Saccharomyces cerevisiae S288C: one gene and its partners. The protein of the gene in region 1 interacts with the protein of each later gene in a biochemical or structural test. Each region holds a gene or a part of one and is shown on either strand. Other genes may lie near its edges.

Region 1 (8,419 bases):
GTACTAAAATATATAAAAGTGAACAGAAGCATGTTCCTTGTTTACTACTATATCTTACCAGGAAACAGACAAAAAAAAAAAAGACTTGCTATATTTAAAGAGAACGCACATTTGTGAGGGGATAATAACACAAAGCAAAGTAATATAGGGTAAATGGACCTCCTAAAATTCAGTTCTCTAGCTATATCAGAAATTAACTTCCTGCACGAGTCATCGTTTGACTCGATAGACCACTCTTGGTTTTTATTGATAGGTTGCAAATTGGATCAAGATGATGAAATTTACATCCCAATAAATGGTAATGAAGCAGAGTCTCAATGGTATATTGAAAAAGTTATACGAATCCCGATGCAGGAAAATGATAAAATAAATCAAGAACGCCTAGAAAGGAGAATTAACCTAACAAAAGTGACTCAAAAGGACATTTGTATACTGGGTATTCTTGATTTATGTCAGTTAGAAGAGGACGAAAATATCACTAATAAAGTGACGGAGAAAGTGCTCACCCAATTGACCGCCTTGGCATTGAAATATCTGATAAAATATAACGTGTTTCGCCAACATACCTCCTTCCAAGAAGCTGTCAATAGTTTAAAGGGTTATAAAATTGAAAATAGTGTACAGATAGGCGCGGAAATTATCCTTGATTTTCTACAAGATAAAGTGCAAATTAAGGATGTAAATGACAGATACCAAATTCCCACACCTAATAATACCGTAGACCCAGGTTTTGATGAGTTTCAATTAATTGACATGAAGGATAAAGAAATCAATATTCAAAAATATAATAATAATACCATAAGAAAATTACTCGAGAAGATTAATCGAATGATAATATTCTTGAAAAATTATGATGCCACTGACAAGCCTTTCTCTTCCACGCAAGATGTAATACTTCGAAAAATATCAATGCTTGTAACACAACTGCAAAGAGGTGGAACAAGTGACATGAATTACCTGCTGGATAACAAAATTAATGAAATAAAATTATTAGAAATTTCGTGTAAACAATGGGAAATTTCAAATATGTTAAAAAAATAACTAGAATATATATATTACACAGAATTATTTTCTTCACTTCCTCCGTCATCAGATTAGTAGCTTCCTAATACCTGTCACAACTTCCCATTTATTCGTGTGTTTGTTGTATGTACAACCCAGCAGCTTTTTATTGGTAACGGGACAATGGCCTTCATTATTAACCAAATAGCTTATGGCACACGGGTAGCATGCCACGTATCCTGTTTCCAATACACAGGGGTTTTGTACAGTTTTTTCGCAAACGGGACAGGCCTCAGAAACTCCCTCTTTATCTTCCGTTTTGTCACTATGTGAGGAGAAAGGCGGCCTTGGAATATCTTCATCCAAGTCATTGACCCTTTTCTGCAATTTAGTAGTCATGTCTTGTGTGGTCCACCATTGGTACACTCTTAGGACAAATATAAAAGTGGGGAAGAATTGCGAACCCATAAATGTTAAAAATCTGGGTATAATCGATAATTGTCCTTGCATTAGCGCGAAAATTGACGATATATTTGTTTTCCTTAGCCTATTATCCATCCCTTTCGTCTCTTTGAGACCAGAGAGTTCTGACGATAGTGGTCTTACCGTTGTGTACTCTATCTTGAATAAGTATTGCAACAAGGAAACCGACCCTGTTCTTTTAGTTAAAAATAATAATTTAACGAGTAAATTGGATAACGCTAATAATTTCTTAATAAATGGATAAATTCTTAGAAACGCTCTCTTGGGCCATTTATTTTCAGTTTCATCGCTGCTGAATATATTATTCATTGATATTTTCTCTAATATTTCATCCAACTTCGCTGTGATATAGGGGAGAATAATTTTTTCCAAAAAAATAACACTCTTTTGCTGTTGATTCAGCTGCAAACCTTGGGGCCATTCACTCTGGCCCTTTGGATTTAAACATTGTGTTAAGGCAAGATTTCTGTCCCTCGAACTAAATAGTTGCAATCCATAAAACCGATCAATAAACGTAGAATTGTATGTCTTTAGATGATACCATTCAACAAACCCTTTTATCGCTTGAAACCACTCAAAAAAGTACTTGTTCAGCCGCAAAGTATACCTGTTAGGGAAGTTCGCCACTAAATGATTTGCCAGTAGATAACGGATGGATGCGGGCAGTAACGAATCGATTTCTTGTGATGACATTATCTCAAAGATAGTCGGATACAATGGTTCTAATCCCACCCCATTTCGACCGCTTGTTGAAGACCCTCGACTAGATTGTCCTGCAGACGGTAGGTTTGAATAAAAGCTCATCACTTGACGACTACCTTCCTTTCCTTTGCTTTATTTTCCCTGCTTATTCCCTTGCTTCTTCTGGAGCCTTCATGCAAAACCGTTTCTCTACCTAATGTGATTCTGCGGTAAGCATTGCTCTTAAGCATCTGAATGAGACGAAAGGATGACTCCACACTAAATTGTACCTCTCTTCTCCAGTGACTGAATTGGAGGTTACCATTGCCAGTGACGGTAATCGTCCACATCGATGATTTCTTAGTATAACCCACACACCTCTCAGACATAGAGGCCCCAGGTGCAACGTGATAGTATAACTGCCCGGAAGTAGAAATACAACTATTCCCTTCATATTAAAAGAATAAAACTTCATTTGAACTCTTTAAAATTTAGTGGTTCATTGTGGTCCTTGTGTAAACGGAAAAAAAGGATATTACGGTAGTGGGTAGTACATAACAAGAGATGACTATCCCTGGAAGATTTATGACAATTGATAAGGGCACTTTTGGTGAATACACTGCTAGCACCCGTTGGCCCATTATCATTCAGAATGCTATAGACGATTTAAGTAAGCATCAAGAAACGGAGAAGAGTAACGGCACTAAGTTCGAACAAGGTGAAGTTATCAAAAAGGAGCTCAAGGAATTCCGTCAGGAGATAATTGATCGTGTACCTTTGAGACCCTTTACTGAAGAAGAGATCAAAATTGCCAACGTCCCGCTTTCGTTCAATGAATATCTAAAGAAACACCCTGAAGTCAATTGGGGGGCTGTAGAGTGGCTGTTCTCGGAGGTTTACTTGTATAGAAGAGTAAATGTTCTTTTCCAACGCCAATGCGAATGGGCTAAATTTGACATATTCAACAGACTTAAACAGTCAACTTTTGAGTCCTCGTTTTATGGTGTCGTGGAATTGGCGTTAAGGTATGAAAATCTGTTACCACAGCTGAGAGAAATGAAGCAAAATCCAGGAAATGAGATTGACGATATATTGAAAGTTCTTTTTAAAGAGTTTATTGAGATTTCTTTGTGGGGCAATGCCACTGATTTATCTTTATTGACCAACGCTACGTTAGAAGACATTAAATCAATCCAAGGGGCGAAAGCAAGAGCTGCATCCGAGTCCAAGATTGTTGTTAATGACACGGAGAAAGCATGGGAGGTATTAACCAAAGCCAGGGCCGATGCCAATAGCAGAGAAATTCGTGTTGATTTTGTATTAGACAATTCTGGCTTTGAATTGTATGCTGACTTGATGTTGGCAGCTTTTCTGTTACAAAGTGGTTTGGCTACCAAATGTATTTTCCACGCTAAAGACATTCCATACATGGTTAGCGATGTTATGTTAAAAGATTTTGATATATTAGTTCATGACCTGAGAGATCGTGAGTTCTTCCCAAGTGGTGAACCCTCGACAAAGGAATCCAGAGCTCTTGATTTATTTGCTGGTGAAATGGAAAAGTTCGTCTCTAGCGGTAAGATAGAATTCCGCGAAGATTCTTTCTGGACCACGGAATTAGATTATTGGAATTTGGACGCAAACGAAACCAAATACCATGGATCCATTTTGCACAAAGATTTGCAAAAATCCAATTTGGTTATTTTTAAGGGTGATCTAAACTATAGAAAATTAACTGGCGACAGAAAATGGCCCCGCACCACTAAATGGGAAACGGCTATCGGACCTCTTGCTACGAATGGTATTACATCATTGAGCTTGAGAACCTGTAAAGCCGATGTACAAGTTGCTTTACCTGAAGGTCTAGACGCGAAATTAAGTCAAGAATGGGAAAAGGAAAATCCTGGCCGTGGTTCTTGGTGGTGTTGTAGCGGTAAATGGGCAGTCATTTGTTTCTGCTCTGGTATACATAAATAAGAATATGATAAGTTCTCTATATAACTTTACTTTATGACTTTCCCTATGAAATGTTCCAAAAAAGCACATAGATTTTTAGTACGTGCCTTTTATTTTATGTACTTCTGATAAAAAAAAGAAAGCTCCTAAGGACAAATTACAATCAATGGCGAAAGAAGAGGAAGAAAGTAATAACGAGGAGAGATCATAAACATGGCGTCAGTAACAGAACAATTCAACGATATTATTAGCTTATACTCAACAAAATTGGAACACACATCTTTGAGGCAAGATTCACCAGAGTACCAGGGATTATTACTTTCCACGATCAAGAAATTATTAAACTTAAAAACAGCAATTTTTGACAGGTTGGCATTGTTCAGTACTAATGAGACCATTGATGATGTGTCTACTGCTTCCATCAAATTTCTAGCAGTTGATTACTATTTAGGATTATTGATATCAAGACGACAGTCGAATGATTCGGATGTTGCTCAAAGGCAGTCTATGAAATTGATTTACCTGAAAAAAAGCGTTGAATCTTTCATTAATTTCCTGACACTATTGCAGGATTATAAGCTTCTAGATCCTTTGGTTGGTGAAAAACTAGGTAACTTCAAGGATCGTTATAACCCTCAGCTTAGCGAATTGTACGCGCAACCAAAAAATAACAAAGATTTATCTGGAGCACAGTTGAAGAGAAAAGAAAAGATTGAGCTATTCCAGCGCAATAAAGAAATTAGCACAAAACTGCACTGCTTGGAGTTGGAATTAAAAAACAACGACGAGGACCACGACCATGATGAATTACTAAGAGAACTATATTTGATGAGGTTACATCACTTTAGTCTTGATACGATTAACAACATTGAACAGAATTTATTTGAATGTGAAATGCTCTCTAATTTCCTCAAAAATTCCGTACATGAAGTCAAATCATCAGGTACTCAGATACGAAAAGAATCGAATGATGATGATTCCACTGGTTTTACCGATAAATTAGAGAATATAAATAAGCCATTGATAGACAAAAAAGGTCAAGTCTTGAGGAACTTCACGCTTGTCGACAAAAGGCAACAACTGCAACAAAAAGTGCGAGGATATGGTCAATATGGACCAACAATGTCGGTGGAGGAATTTTTAGATAAAGAGTTTGAAGAAGGTCGCGTTCTTCAAGGTGGCGAAGAACCAGAGCAAGCACCAGATGAAGAAAACATGGACTGGCAAGATAGAGAAACCTATAAAGCTCGTGAGTGGGACGAGTTCAAGGAAAGTCATGCTAAGGGAAGCGGAAATACCATGAATAGAGGATAGAAAAAAATACCTATATACGTACACATAAGTATCTATTAGACAGATTCATATATTATTTTTTTTTCTGCCTACATCAGTTATATTTTAATCTTGTGCAAAAGGACTTCGTTATTTTTATTCACGGTGATTAACACCGGCGTAGAATCTACAATCAGATTTGAAGAAAATACCACAGGCTCTTTTCTTTCCGAGAAGTTGATGTCTGCTACGACAAATTCGTCGATGGATGGTTTTAGGTTTTCTAAATTCCTAAACTCAAAGTCTCCATTACTATATGATACGGTGATTATGCTGTCGTTCAAATCGAGTTGTATTGGTAGTGTTGACGATGGAGTCAATTGTTCCTTCAGTACAACTTTTTTCTTATCAAAAGAATAAACCAATAATCTCTCATTGCTTAGCTGAATCAGTAGCTTAGAAGTTTTTCTATCCAAAAATAAATGGTAACCTTCTTCTTCTGGCTTACCCGATAATATTGTATCAATCTTCAAATCAATTTTTTGTAGAAGCTTACCCTCGAAATCATATATGGTAAGCTGGTATGGATTTGAAGACAGTAATATTAAGGATTTTTCTGTTATACCCAATATACAATCCAGAATGTTTGTGGAATCATTACTATCATCGTCATCATTATCATGTGTTATTTCATATGTTTCTTTTATGTTAATTGGGACATCCTCAGGAGCCTCTATATTGTCCAATTCCCAGATTCTAATTTGAGATTTATTCTTACTAGCTATCAACAACCATTTATTTTTGAAGTCTATATTAATGATATCACTAGACGAAAACGGCTGTTCTGAGTCTTGTAATAGGTCCACATCTGAGATCAAAGATGCGCTAGAAATAGAGAACAATTTCAAATGGAAACTCTTTTCAATAACAAGGAGTTTGGACGTCGAAACCCAGAAAAATTTCATAATGTCGCTATCTTGCCCTAAAGATATTTTCTTTAAGAGTTTGGAATTCAAGTTTGCGTCCACTTGGTGTATTTCTAACGATTTGGTGTCTGCATCATAAAGTGCCATACAGTCCCCGTAGGAGCTGATAATGTCGACTTTCGACAATTCCGAGTGTATCTTGGATATTGTTTCATTATTTTCACGCTTGTTGGCTGTGCTAAACAAAGATTTCACTTTGGTTGGTGATGGTGACTCTGAAGGACCTTGCTTTGGATTGGGTTTGGTGTCCAAGAGGGCATTATTTAAAATATCCATCCCATTTGTCTTCGCACTGCCCTCTTCCTTGGGAGTATTCACGTTCAGTTTCTCTAAATCGTGCAATTCAGAACCCGCTTCTCTGCTATTTAATGACTCTAACTGATTGACCGTGTTAGGGCCTTTCAACAAATAAATTATTTCCTTCACATTTTCTTGAACAGCTAGCTTAGACTGCAGTAATGAATCAGGCACATGTTTTTCTTCCTTTTCACCTTCAGGAGAAACAGCTTTCGATTGTATTTGATTCAATTGATGCTTCAAATCTCTATTTTCGCCCTCTAGTTCTGCAATTCTTGCTTTCATTTCCGACCTTTCTAGCTCCCAGGTGATTCTATCTCTTTCATTCTTCGTGAACTCCGTTTGCAAGTAGTGCATTACACCAGGTAACGTGTAATGCGGATGAACATGTGCCTGGTTAATAGCCATATTGTTTTCCGGTCTAACTACACGCACTTACTTCTTTTGGGTTTCTTTATTAATGTTGTTGCTTGCTCCTCACATTTAGTCGTTCTAGGTGGCTTTTATCTAAGATTACGCGACGGGGAAGATCGCAAAGTTAAGACCAATAGAGTACTATACCATATCCCAACAAAGAAGCCTAGGGGATGGTGCAGCAGTAAAAACTGAATAGACTATAATAGATCATCCTACGTAAAACCCGAATAGGTTATCTCTTAAACCTTGTTTTCCTGTAAAGTTGTCCCGCGCATGTGAAGACGCAGAGAGTGGAGATCAATCTTAAAACAACTGAAGCAACTAGCACTTTCTTGACATTTAATAAGGAACTATTATCGCGTAAACCAAAAGAAACGCATGTAAAACATCTGCAAGTTACTCCATCATCTGACACCTAGAGACGTACGTATCAGAACGATTTGAGTGGAGGGGTACAAAAAGGGACTCTGTAGATCAAAAACTGTAATATTATCCTTTTTTTTACTTTCTGAGAAGCTATTCGAAAACAAGGAGATAGAACTACAAGCAGTTATGAAGGACCTAAATCCAGAAATGGGGAAATTTGCTACCACTAAAGGCCCTCCTCAAGACAATAGAGGCATGGTTGATATAGCGACACTGCCTAATTTTCCTGCCAACCGTAGTGGGACTCCTCGTGAGGAGATGTATCTGGCGCCCAACAAGATGGAAACTCCAAGGATACTTAATATGAATATGGTACCGGATTATTTGCAAAAAGAGAACTTCTCGCCAGATTTTTCTTCTGCTACCGTATCTGCCAAGTCATCTCCTGTCAACGTTACTCATGATGAGTCGCTTCCTCTGGGAACTATTGAATCGAATAGCACAAAGGATTCTAAATATGCAGTTCAACGGCAACAGCAACAAGTGGTAGATTTCATAGAGAATAATATGCAGCTACTGTCTTCAGAAACACTAAATTTTAGATCAGACATTATGAAAACTTTGGAGCTTCCCATTCCCAAGAGAAGAGATATTAAGGGAAACCATCTATCTAAACTATTATTTGCTAAATCACCTCTAACTATCAACACATATTGCCAATTTTATGACCGTAGAACCAAGCGAATTTGCAATCAAGAAATGATATGGAAAGATAAGAACAGTAGAGAGAAGCATGGTTCTAGAAAGTATCAAAGACATTTGAGTAAAGTTCACGATGTCCAGCTAACACCAAATAATTTTACCGAATTTTTTGATCATAATTCTCCACTTTTCCAGGAATGCTATGACTATCAATCTAGATTGATGCGTGATTTACTTGTTGAACCAGATGCCAAATT
Region 2 (5,968 bases), on another chromosome or scaffold:
TGAATGAATAAGATGGCGAATAGTACATATTGAAATCTCTGGGAACGTCCCTCCAATCTTCCCCACTATAGTCAAATTCAAAAGTACTTCTTGATCTAACGGAAAGTGGGTTAGGTGACGTAACGACGTGATCAGAAGTGGCTGTAGTCGCGTTATGTACCGCATTCCTATTATTATGCATTGCGCCTTCAACGTTTTCGCTATTTGTTGACCCAAAGGCTTCATTTGCACCATCCTCTGCCACCAACTTATCATCATTGAAGATGCAATTGCACCGTCTCCGAAAGAAAACATTATTACTACCAGATGCTATTTTTTCTGTTGGGTTAACAACGCTTTCATCCAATCCTCCATGATCGCTTTCAGAGAAAGATTCATCATAATCTTCACATTCATAATCAAACATATATCTAATATCCTCATCAAATCTATCACCTGACTGTAAATCGGCAAATAAATCTGTTACATCTTCGATGCTTGCTCCAAGCGCAAGTAGAGATGCAGTATGTGACCTTAAATCGGCATATAAAGCACCATGACACAATTTTCTTCCATAGGGCGACATGAATGTGTTTAAAGACTCGTGCTTGAAATCATGATCATTATTTTTCACTAATCCATTGAGAACGGTAGCTATTACAGACCTCAATGCTGCGGCTCCACGAATTGTGGCGCGAACCATAAGCGGCGTTTCGTAAGTGCCATTCTCCTCTTCAATTCTATCAATTTCTAAGGCTAAAAGTATAACACAGGAGAGGTTTTTCCATAAGGATATTAATGAAAATAAAAATGGGTTTAGTTGTATAGGTATTTTTTCATACAACTTGTAGATGGTATATACCGCCAGTATATCAATCATATAGAGTAATTCCAAGTCTTGTGTATTCAGGCCATGCGGTAGCCATCTGTGAAGTTGCGTCTTCCAATGAACTGCATTATCTGTATTGTTTACCGAGTTTAATATATCAAAATCAAAGCAGTTGAGCCTCAACATGGTAGCATCAATAATTTTTTGCATGTTAAAACACATATAAAATTTCCAGTCATAATGGTCGTTGTGTTCTTGAGAAGTCTTGATCGACTGAGACATTAATCCCAAAAAAAGCTGAAAAAGAAAGTCTATCGATATAATATGCTTATCATTGGGAGTAGGCTGCATTAATGGATCTACTAAGCCACATAGCGTAGAAAATTGTAGTTCCAATAATGGCGTCAATACCGTAGTGAGATTTAATATTTTAAAAAGAAGCTCGTGTCTTAGTAAAGAATGCTCCATAACGTTGGGTATTTCAAGCGTTCCATCTTGGTTCAGTTCGAATGAATATATTTGTTCCTGGTCATTTATTGTTCGGCCCATTATCGCCTCTCTCGGTTGTTTTTGATGATCAAAACGGCTATCGTCAAGGCCACTTCCAGCATTGCCTTCATCATTTTCCATTAACAGGCTAATGTTATCACTAAAAGTAAGATTTACTCTGTTCTCAGCATTAAAGGAATACCAGAAATAAAAATTTCGGCATTCTATCATTCTATTGTAATCTTTTAAAATTTTTCTAACGACAAGTGCTGGCTTATCAAATGTGGAGCTGCAGCTTATCAAACTCTCTATACGGCCAGTTATCGAATACAAATAGTCCTTTAACAAATTATACGTTTCATTGAGTAATATGGACGGAATAGTAATTTTTGAAACAATTAAAAAGCTCAACGGGAGTTTGTATTCTGGAAGATTGTACCGATTAATTTGAAGAGGGGCCGTTTTATTTGCTAATAAAAACCTTAAGAATTTCAGGAGTAATATATCATTATCTTTCCAACTCAGTACTATGGAAGCATAGCTAGAACTGTTATTTTCAAAGGACTGGGCCCAGGATTTTCTTTCCTTCAAAGAAGAAGTCTGAATTAATCGTAAAGCTGACTTCCCTGAAATTGTTGTGAACAACGTAATTATGAGAGCCTCAAGCAATAGGTTAGAGCATATTTTCTGATCATTAAACATGGTTTCATTATATAAGATCTTCTCCAAATTTTCCACCGATGGAACATAATTTTTATCTTTCAGTAACTCTTGTAAGGGAATAAAGTCCTTAAAATGAACCGAATCACCTGAAGAATCTTCACTGGCTAAATTTTGCCTTTCAGCATAATTAGTAGCTGCTTTCTTTTTCGTCATCACTTTCTTACGTAAGTATGTGGAGTTAAGAGAGAAAAAGTGTTTGAAAAAAGCTCCTCAACGATCTACTGGGCTGCCAAAATAAAATTCAGCGTCAATGGAAAAGCTAACTAATGTAGATATTGCGTGCACTACTTGTCAAAAATTCGTGCTCCTTATTAATATATGTATATGTATATACAAATGTGTCAATACATCAATAGTGCAATTTGTTAAAGTATTTGTATTCATAAATTGGCGCTGCCCGGGTAAGGTAGAAATTGCATCAGATAAAAGTGAGGGCCCATTGTTTGCCATTCGAACACATCCATCCTACGTGGTATCAATGGTTGTTGATCCGCTCTCTTTCTGCTAGGAAGTACTTTACAATCCCCTGATAGGCACTCATATCGCCACAGCGGATGATATTACCAATGTCTACGTCAAGTGGAGAATCACAAACGGGTTCCCTTAGGAGTCTCCAAACAGCATGAACACAGTGTAACAAATCCCATACAGGAGTCCACTCCTCTGGTTTAAGGATGTTCAGACATATTTCTCCTGTGGCTGATTTAACATTGCAGTGCAAAATATTGTTCTGCATAAAACTTATCTTTGGTGGATTCATGGGGTAGGAACTAGGGACTTCTATTAGTATTCGAAACTGATGATTTTCATAAGGTGTGTCTGACGGCCCAGAAATTATAGCTTCCCACTTGCTCAAGTCGGTTTCGTCAATCGGGTTAAGTGACTCGATTATCCCCCGGTAGGGGTTCGCTATGGGGTCATCACTGGCCAATGTTTTCAGTATGACTTTGTACTCCTTCACGATCCTCGACATACATGTATCAGACGTATAGCTCCTACGATTCTCAAGAATCCAGAAGTTTGGCATATTATGTATAAAGGCGATGATTATGTATATTTTATGTTGTCTCCAGTAAGTGGCAGCATAACCCGGCCAGTCTGCGCTGCATGCTGTGAAGCAGTAATATGCGATATATACCACATATATTCCGCTTCCGTTCAGGATTTCGAAAAGAGAAACTTCAGTGAATGACTATGACTACATAGTTGGAGTCTTAGACCATTGCAAATGAGTTATTCAAGTATGAGAGATCAACACTGATGAGAATAAACTCGTCTTCATGATGATACGGGTAACGCGAATGTATCGCATCAATAAATTTCAGGGAAAGGGAGTTTGACGATCTCATGGATGCAACGGTTGAGGTATATAATATTAAGCAGAAAGAAGAGGAAAAAAAATAAATCGGTAAACCAACCATCAACGGTACGAAACTTACATTCAAAATCAATAATTTACTTTAGAAAAGAATGTCTAATTCTGCCAAACTTATCGATGTCATCACCAAGGTGGCGTTGCCCATTGGTATAATTGCTAGCGGGATTCAGTACTCCATGTATGATGTGAAGGGTGGTTCTCGTGGTGTTATTTTCGACAGAATCAATGGTGTAAAGCAACAGGTTGTGGGTGAAGGCACTCATTTCTTGGTGCCTTGGCTACAGAAGGCGATCATATACGATGTGAGGACGAAACCAAAGAGCATTGCTACCAATACTGGTACGAAGGATTTGCAAATGGTGTCATTGACCTTGAGAGTCTTACATAGACCAGAGGTCTTACAGCTACCCGCAATATACCAAAATTTGGGTCTCGATTACGACGAAAGAGTGTTACCATCTATCGGCAATGAGGTTTTAAAGTCTATAGTAGCTCAATTTGATGCTGCTGAGTTAATTACTCAGAGAGAAATTATTTCTCAAAAAATCAGAAAAGAGCTTTCTACGAGGGCCAACGAATTCGGTATTAAGTTGGAAGATGTCTCTATCACTCATATGACGTTTGGTCCCGAATTCACGAAAGCAGTTGAGCAGAAGCAGATTGCACAGCAAGATGCCGAAAGAGCCAAATTCCTTGTCGAAAAGGCAGAGCAAGAGAGACAAGCTTCTGTTATCAGAGCTGAAGGTGAAGCAGAAAGTGCTGAATTCATTTCAAAAGCCTTAGCTAAAGTTGGTGATGGTCTGTTATTGATTAGAAGATTAGAAGCTTCTAAGGACATCGCTCAAACATTAGCAAACTCATCTAACGTTGTCTATTTACCAAGTCAACATTCTGGTGGTGGTAACAGCGAGTCTTCGGGATCACCAAATTCCTTGCTTTTGAACATTGGCCGTTAAGTCTGGAAAAGCTATGAACACAATAAACTAGGGGAGAAAATTTTTTTTTAATCATATTAGAAACCTGTATATATGGGGGATAACAACGCCAATAACATATTCCATCTTTCCATTTAGTTACCAACACGAATACGTATGCTATCAATATCGTAACTTAGTTTTTTATCATTTATATATATACATGGATGAGCCTACGAAAAAACTAAAGCACATTCATGTATCACCATAATATTATTTTAGAAAGAACTTTTTTTGTTAAATTTATTTAATGCAAAGGTTATATAAAGAACGATCAACGAAAATTGTACGCGAATTGCCTTTTTTTCAGTCCAGTAGGCTTAAACCTGGGAAATTGTAGGTATGCCCATTTGTCTTCTTGCCCTCCTTCTGCTGAATCCGGTATTAGAGCCAAATCCACCATTTTGCATCATACCCATCGTGGCCACAGTCACTTTGATGAGGAATAGAAAACAGGAAAAGTAAAAAAACGCAACAGCAGCCTGAGATTGATGACATCTGGAGCTTGAGCCTTGTATGATCTTATTCTGTTCCAGATATGTTTTGTTTTTACACGAATGGCATCTTATACCTACAGCCAAAGCGGTGGCTGCTACAAACGTAAATATGAAATTTAAAAAATCCAAAACAAGCAAAATTGCTGGGTATGTTAATGATGTCCAGAAATTAGCCAAAAACCCATATAATGAATCCGTAACCAGACCATAAACGGCGGCAAACATACAAAAGTTCACTCGAGAACTATGCTTTGTCTGTGTACCTATCAGGCCGCTGATTAGACCTATGGATATAATAAGAAAAACAGCATTTATGATGCGCACTAAATTATCTGCAGCTGATAGCATTTATTATTGTTGTTGCTTTATTGTTATTTAAAATTCCAATGAATATGAAGCCTCTCAAAAGCTTAACATACTCTATCGTGCTTCCTCCCATCGCAAGAAGGATTTACTGATACAGCCAATTATTATAATTTATATTTATACTTATATCTGCATCCAAGGCGCGATAGGCCCTACTTCCCACCTGCCTGTGCAAAACATTGCTCATTGTTCGTAAAGGAAATCTTCAACAGATTTTAAACGGCATGCCGCCAAAGGGTTCGTAAAGAGGAAAAGTTCATGAGAATACAAGCGCGACATTCTGCCGGCACAATGCGGCGCAGGAAAGAGATACCAAAGGAGTGAGATCTCAACAGCATGTGCCACATCCGCGCATATACAATAAATGTAACAAGCGCCCCGAAATGGAGCTACGAACTATCCCAGCACTAAAAGCACATATATTGTATTGTCGCTACTGCAAAGTGCTAAACATCAATAATTTCGAACAAGCGGAAATAAATCACAGTTCTTTCAATTGCTTGCCTCCCAATACGCCACTGATAAATGTCAAAATTTCCACGTCACCGACCCTTCAATGGTAGCAATAGAAAGATCTACAAAGGCTATGAAGTAAAGGGTTCTCACCTTAAACGGCTGAACAGGAATAAGGGGTGTGCGGCCGGGTAGCGAGTTGCTTTTTTAAATTGAAACGAGGAGAAAAGAACCGGGAGAGGGGTAGTCGAATGCTGAACAGTGCAGACAACATACCATT
Region 3 (6,686 bases), on another chromosome or scaffold:
GACGGAGTGACCTCGTTATACATATCCCTGCATTAAAAGCATGCGGTAAAAACTGAAATTTAAAAATGAAAAAAAAAAAAATTAGATATTCGGAAGACTTGTAATTAAGCATTATCTCGAATAAAGAAAGGTTACACTGAAAGTTTCATACTCGCGGTCACTCTTAATAATAGCTATATTTTCTGATTTTCTCTTAAGATTTTGAAAAGGGCATCTGAACGACTGCCCACTCAGCCATATTCAACAAATCGTCGAGCGCATACCTAGCTGAAAAAGATCCATAAAGTGCATTTTGATACAGTCTCTTTCGTCGAAAAAATAGTGGCTATACTTCTTTTCAAGAATTAGGATGAGCGAATCAGTGAAAGAAAACGTTACTCCGACACGTAACTTCCGTCGTACTCAAGGGCCCCAAAATAATACAAAACCTCACAACGACAGGAAGAATTTCAGAAGAAAGCAAAAGAAAAATAACCTTTCTGCTGAACCCAACCTCACCACTTCAAGCGCAGATGATACTGATGAAGAAAATGAATTATGTGTAATTTGTGCGCGCAAGTTAACATACGTATCTCTAACACCATGCCATCATAAGACATGCCATATCTGTGGTTTCAGACAACGAGCTTTGTACAACAAGAAAAGCTGTTTGATTTGCAGAACGGAGAATGAAGAAGTCATGTTTACCGATCGCATAGATGGTGATATTTCAGATAAATATAACTTTTGCGAAAAAAATGAAAAATATGGAATAAATTTCACTAGCGAAGAGGTTGCTACCGAAACACTAAATCTTTTAAAATTTTTTTGTCCCCTATCGAAGGATGAACAAGTTTGTGACTTTGGTAGTTTCAAGAAATATAATGAACACTTGAAATCTGAACATAACAGAATGATCTGTTTAATATGTGCAACCCATAAGCATGCATTCCCTTGTGAGCTTGAAATATTCACCCAAAATCAATTACGCAACCATCAAACTAAGGGTAATTCAGAAGGATTCAAAGGCCACCCTATGTGTGCCTTCTGTTCCGGAAAACGATTTTATTCAGACGACGAATTGTACATTCACATGAGAAATCAGCATGAAAAGTGCCATATTTGTGATAAGATGAACCCCGCTTCTCCTCAATACTTTAAGGATTATAATCAGCTTTTTGACCACTTTAAACATTCGCATTACGTTTGCACCGTCCAAACTTGCTTAGATAACAAGTTTGTCGTATTTAAAGACGAGTTGGAGTTACAAGCCCACATTTTGCAGGAGCATGGTAATATCCTGAAGGGAAAGCCAAAGTTTTTCCAGTCAGAACTTTCTACTTTTATCTCGGCTCCATCTAGAGTGATCAGGGAAAGAGATGATTACGACCTTCCATCTATATCTTCCCTACCGGGTTCATCATCCGGCTCTAGAACTGATGTGAGATCTGCTAGTTCTCCCGAGGAAAGTAGACTAAGATTGGCAGAAAGAGCAAAATACTATCTGGAAAATTCCAAAGAAGACTTCAATAAGTTTTCTTCTTATAACGAAGATTATTCTAAAGGTCGCTTAAGTGCTGAAAAATTATTGGAATCATATAAATTGTTATTCACAAAACCAAATGCGGATGTATATTTATTGATTCATAACTTAGCTGAAACCTTTCCCAAAAACTCCTCCAAATACAATAATCTGAACGCCATATATGAACAAAGAGAGCAAACCCTTGCACGACAAACTTCACTACCTTCTTTATCTAGTGATTCTTCCCTTTCAATGTCAATAGGCAGGGGCCATTGGGGTGGAACAAACGATGGGGGCAGCGCTGGTGCAGCATTAGGCGTTAGGAATATCAAAAATCTTCCAACCCTGAAAAGTCCTTCAGCGTCGTATGATCCCTTTGCAACCACCGTAAAAAAAAACACTCTGAGACCCGTGCAAAACATTAAAAGAACTACACCTCAATCAGTTAGTTATCGAACTTCCACTAATACAGTCGCCTTCTCTCCAACCTATTTGGAAAGTAAAAAGGGTTCCTCTTCTACTTCTCTAAATAATAGCAAAGATAAATTGAAAAGTCTCAACCTACCTCAACTACCTCCACCAAAGCCAAAGGTGCAAATTCCAGGTCTGAACAGACCCCAAATTGCTGATCCTAAGCAGTGGGGTAAAAAGTCAAGCACACAAGATACTAACGTGCACGATAATTTGAGGGAATTGAACACAACTAGTGGAGGAAATAAAAAGAAAGGCAAACAAAAGCAGCTGTTATTCCACATTGGTGTATAGTTGGAAATATATTTCTAACCTGTAACTGACAATAGCATTAGAGAAATGAAAGTCTTAAATAAAATTCCGATAAAGAAAAACTTATTTAATTAATTAATATAATTACAAGACTAAAAAGCATTATTTCCCCTTCGCGTTTTACTTCTCCTGCTCAGACGTCTGCGTTATTTCTGAAAAAGGCCTGTGGACAATGCTAAAAGAGTAGTCAAATTATTGATTAGTTCCTCTATTGCCGCAGGACCAGAATTTCCTGTGGTTGACAGTGTTGTCTGCACAAGGGGCATTCTGGCCTCTCTTTACACCAGCTCATAAGACAACTCCAACAAAATAGATGTCCACATGGCGCGCAGCTAGGATCACTCATGTTCATGAGACATAGGATGCATTTTCTCGAGGCTTCTGGAATAAATGGCAATTGGTTTTTATCTGACAAATTTATATGAGTCAGCTGCGATTCCTTCGGTATGCCTTCTATAGATTCATGTTCTGAACGCTCCTGTAGACCAACAGACGACCTAGTAATTGAATCATTGGTCCTTTTTCTCCCATAAATCCAGGACCCGAGCGTAGAGGTTAGGACAGGGTACCATTTCATAACATTTTGAGCTAATAGGATATAACCTAATACTTTGTACTTTTGTGAGCCCTCTTCTCTAAAATTGGCCTCATTTTTTGACAATATATGTTTAAAAACATATCTCATACCAAAAATCCTTTTGGAAATACTGTAAAAAGCTCCTTTGAAATAAAAGAGGGTCATGTGTACGTCTAAAATGAAATCTAAAAGGCCCTTACAAAACGCGGCAACACTTTCAGTATCTTCAATTTTACTTTCCTTGTTGTTCTTCATTATTTTCTTGTATAGTTTGGTGATGAAATATGGACATAAAGGATAAGCGAAAGCGAATACAATCATTTTGAGCCGTCCTGCAAGTCTGGTACCCTTCCTATTAGTGTATGTCAAGTCAACATATTCCTCACCTAACGTTCTACCACGTCTTCCTGTAGTAAAGAGCAAATACAGGAGCTTGGCAAATATGGACAGTTCCTTAGGGTAAGAGTTAACAAACAATTGACTCTTTATCAATTTGCACAATTCAGTCACTTTCATAATCAAAAGGCCCTGGATTTGTTCATCTTTTTGATGCGCTTGTACTATACTTGGAGCATCGGCAAATGGAAATCTTAGCTGCGATAGTCGCATAAGTGCTTCCTTTTGCAACTTATTATCATTCTTCATTTTGGTCCTCTATTGTATGACCCCCCACCGATGTAGTAGTGTCTGTTTCTTTCTTCGATGTGTAGTGTGCTTTATTACCACTACCTTATTTTTCTAATGTAAACGGCTAATACCTACTTCGCCCTCTCAGATTATCACGGTGGGTAAAAATTGTGATAAAACCGGCTGATTACTTGCAAGAAGATGCACATATGGACAGCTCATGTAGCTGTTGAGACGTTATCATTGTTAGAACTTTGGCTCCTATAATATTATCAATTCACGTTTTGCTGCTTATTCCTCCGAACGACTTTTAGCATTGGGTTACTCTGATCACAAACATCCGTACCCTACACTCCGGGTGATAAAGCCAGCCCATTGTTTCGTACTTTCTTATTACACCCTCATATTGAACGATCTATAAAACGAAGTAATGTACAGACACAAGTGCAAGCGAGGAATATATACGGTCGATTAGTAGATTACAAACCACGAAGTAGAATATATCATTTCCGTTTCGTCTAGATAAAAAAACACTTCTTTGTTCAGAGTAGCTAATTGATGGTGAACGAATTAGAGAATGTGCCACGGGCGTCGACCTTGACGAATGAAGAGCAAACGGTTGATCCTAGCAATAACGACTCACAGGAAGATATTAGTCTGGGTGATTCTAACGAAATTACTTCGTTGGCATCATTAAAGGCTATCCGATCAGGAAATGAAGAGGAAAGCGGGAACGAGCAGGTGAATCATAATGATGAGGCCGAAGAAGATCCTCTGTTAACTCGCTACCATACCGCTTGCCAAAGAGGTGATCTAGCGACTGTCAAAGAAATGATACATGGAAAGTTGCTCGAAGTTAATAACGACGGTGACTCTACGGAACATATCACTGGTTTGCATTGGGCAAGTATTAATAACAGACTTTCTGTAGTGGATTTTCTAGTTTCACAAGGCGCTGATGTCAATGCAAGGGCTGGTGCTTTGCATGCCACACCATTACATTGGGCTGCAAGGTATGGGTACGTGTACATTGTCGATTTTTTGCTTAAGCATGGAGCTGATCCCACCATGACCGATGACCAAGGTTTCAATCTACTACACTTATCTGTGAACAGCTCAAATATAATGCTAGTTCTATACGTTTTATTCAACGTTGTCAGCAAAGGTCTTTTAGATATAGATTGCCGAGACCCAAAGGGCAGAACTTCACTACTATGGGCTGCTTACCAGGGAGATTCCCTAACTGTAGCAGAATTGTTGAAATTTGGTGCCAGCATAAAGATCGCAGATACAGAAGGATTCACCCCACTGCACTGGGGCACTGTAAAAGGGCAACCACATGTACTAAAATACTTGATTCAAGATGGTGCAGATTTTTTCCAAAAAACGGATACCGGAAAAGATTGCTTTGCTATTGCTCAAGAAATGAACACTGTGTACTCACTTAGAGAGGCTCTAACACATTCTGGATTCGACTACCATGGTTATCCCATTAAAAAATGGTTCAAAAAAAGTCAACATGCTAAGCTCGTTACATTCATAACGCCATTTCTATTTCTAGGAATCGCATTTGCTCTTTTCTCTCATATTAACCCTTTGTTTGTAATCATTGTCCTTTTTTTATTGGCCATTGCCACTAACAAAGGCTTGAACAAATTCGTTCTGCCGTCATATGGACGAATGGGTGTCCACAACGTTACCTTGTTAAGGTCACCTTTGTTATCCGGTGTTTTTTTTGGCACTTTACTTTGGGTGACTATCGTTTGGTTTTTCAAAGTTATGCCTCGAACATTTTCTGATGAACAATATACTAACATCCTAATGCTGGTAATACTTGTTTCTGTATTTTACCTTTTTGGGCAGCTTGTTATTATGGACCCAGGATGTTTGCCAGAAGAAACTGATCATGAGAACGTGCGACAAACAATCTCGAACTTGCTCGAAATCGGTAAATTTGATACGAAGAACTTTTGTATCGAAACTTGGATTAGAAAACCTCTAAGAAGCAAATTTTCGCCCTTAAACAATGCTGTGGTTGCAAGATTTGATCATTACTGCCCTTGGATCTTTAATGATGTCGGACTCAAAAATCACAAAGCATTTATATTTTTTATTACATTAATGGAAAGTGGTATTTTCACATTTCTTGCACTTTGCCTGGAATATTTTGATGAACTTGAAGATGCACACGAAGATACATCCCAGAAAAATGGCAAATGTTTCATCCTAGGCGCTTCAGATCTCTGTTCGGGATTAATATATGATAGATTTGTCTTTCTGATATTATTATGGGCTTTACTCCAATCTATTTGGGTTGCAAGTTTGATCTTCGTCCAAGCCTTTCAAATATGTAAAGGAATGACCAATACAGAATTCAATGTTTTGATGAAAGAGAGTAAGTCCATTGGCCCCGATGGGTTATCTTTCAATGAAAACTTCAATACTACTCCAGAAGGATTTGCGCCGTCGATTGATCCGGGTGAGGAGAGTAATGATACTGTACTAGCACCAGTCCCAGGCTCAACGATAAGGAAACCACGCACTTGTTTTGGCGTTTGTTACGCGGTGACTGGTATGGATCAGTGGTTAGCGGTTATAAAAGAAACCATTGGCATCAAGGATAGCACCGGACATAATGTGTATTCGATTACATCAAGAATACCAACAAATTACGGTTGGAAAAGAAATGTTAAAGACTTTTGGCTTACAAGCGATATAAATGCGCCTTTGTGGAGGCGAATTTTGTATCCTCCTTCGGGCTCTAAAGCTTTGCTCAACGGGATAGAAGTTGACTATTTTAAGCTTTACAAATTGCCAAATAAGGATGTTGAACAAGGAAATGATATGGTATGAAAATTTTGTTGTTTTCATTAGGAGAAACTGTATATTTTAGCCTTTTATCAAACAACTGTGAGTATAGAAAAGTTTATGCCTCAAGCTGCAGTGCTTCTTATAAGTGATTGGCTGAATCAAGGACTATTAGGAAAGCTCATGAGGTGGTTAATAAATGTTTAGCTGAAAAAATGAAGATAGCCACATTTGTAACATTCATTTCAAAGCACATATATATATAATATACATATGTTTGTTTTGGGAAATTACTGGAAGCTGCCCTAGTTTTGTTTTGATTTCACTTTCCTTTGTTTACATATTACCATTTTGACGCGTTCCGTGACACGTTAAAGGATAATAGTT

The links. Proteins that work in one complex are often made in the same cells at the same time.
Region 2: the proteins of PEX12 (region 1) and PEX4 form a complex in vitro, tested with the Saccharomyces cerevisiae proteins (3 studies listed by BioGRID).
Region 3: the proteins of PEX12 (region 1) and PEX10 form a complex in vitro, tested with the Saccharomyces cerevisiae proteins (one study listed by BioGRID).

What each region holds. Positions count from the first base shown.
Region 1 is NC_001145.3:323,147-331,565, forward strand, and holds PEX12 (ubiquitin-protein ligase peroxin 12), read right to left. Parts: upstream 2,290-8,419; coding exon 1,090-2,289; downstream 1-1,089. Other genes in the region: CSI1 (Csi1p), read left to right, coding at 154-1,041; YMR027W (putative methyltransferase), read left to right, coding at 2,731-4,143; TAP42 (Tap42p), read left to right, coding at 4,336-5,436; FAR8 (Far8p), read right to left, coding at 5,514-7,085; RSF1 (Rsf1p), read left to right, coding at 7,647-8,419. UniProt on the Saccharomyces cerevisiae protein: Component of a retrotranslocation channel required for peroxisome organization by mediating export of the PEX5 receptor from peroxisomes to the cytosol, thereby promoting PEX5 recycling.
Region 2 is NC_001139.9:753,975-759,942, reverse strand, and holds PEX4 (E2 ubiquitin-protein ligase peroxin 4), read right to left. Parts: upstream 3,048-5,968; coding exon 2,496-3,047; downstream 1-2,495. Other genes in the region: CCR4-NOT core subunit CAF130, read right to left, coding at 1-2,173; prohibitin subunit PHB1, read left to right, coding at 3,491-4,354; FHN1 (Fhn1p), read right to left, coding at 4,693-5,217. UniProt on the Saccharomyces cerevisiae protein: Catalyzes the covalent attachment of ubiquitin to other proteins. Essential for peroxisome biogenesis. Required for UBC4-independent ubiquitination of PEX5.
Region 3 is NC_001136.10:995,687-1,002,372, reverse strand, and holds PEX10 (ubiquitin-protein ligase peroxin 10), read right to left. Parts: upstream 3,510-6,686; coding exon 2,496-3,509; downstream 1-2,495. Other genes in the region: E3 ubiquitin-protein ligase HEL2, read left to right, coding at 350-2,269; palmitoyltransferase AKR1, read left to right, coding at 4,050-6,344. UniProt on the Saccharomyces cerevisiae protein: E3 ubiquitin-protein ligase component of a retrotranslocation channel required for peroxisome organization by mediating export of the PEX5 receptor from peroxisomes to the cytosol, thereby promoting PEX5 recycling.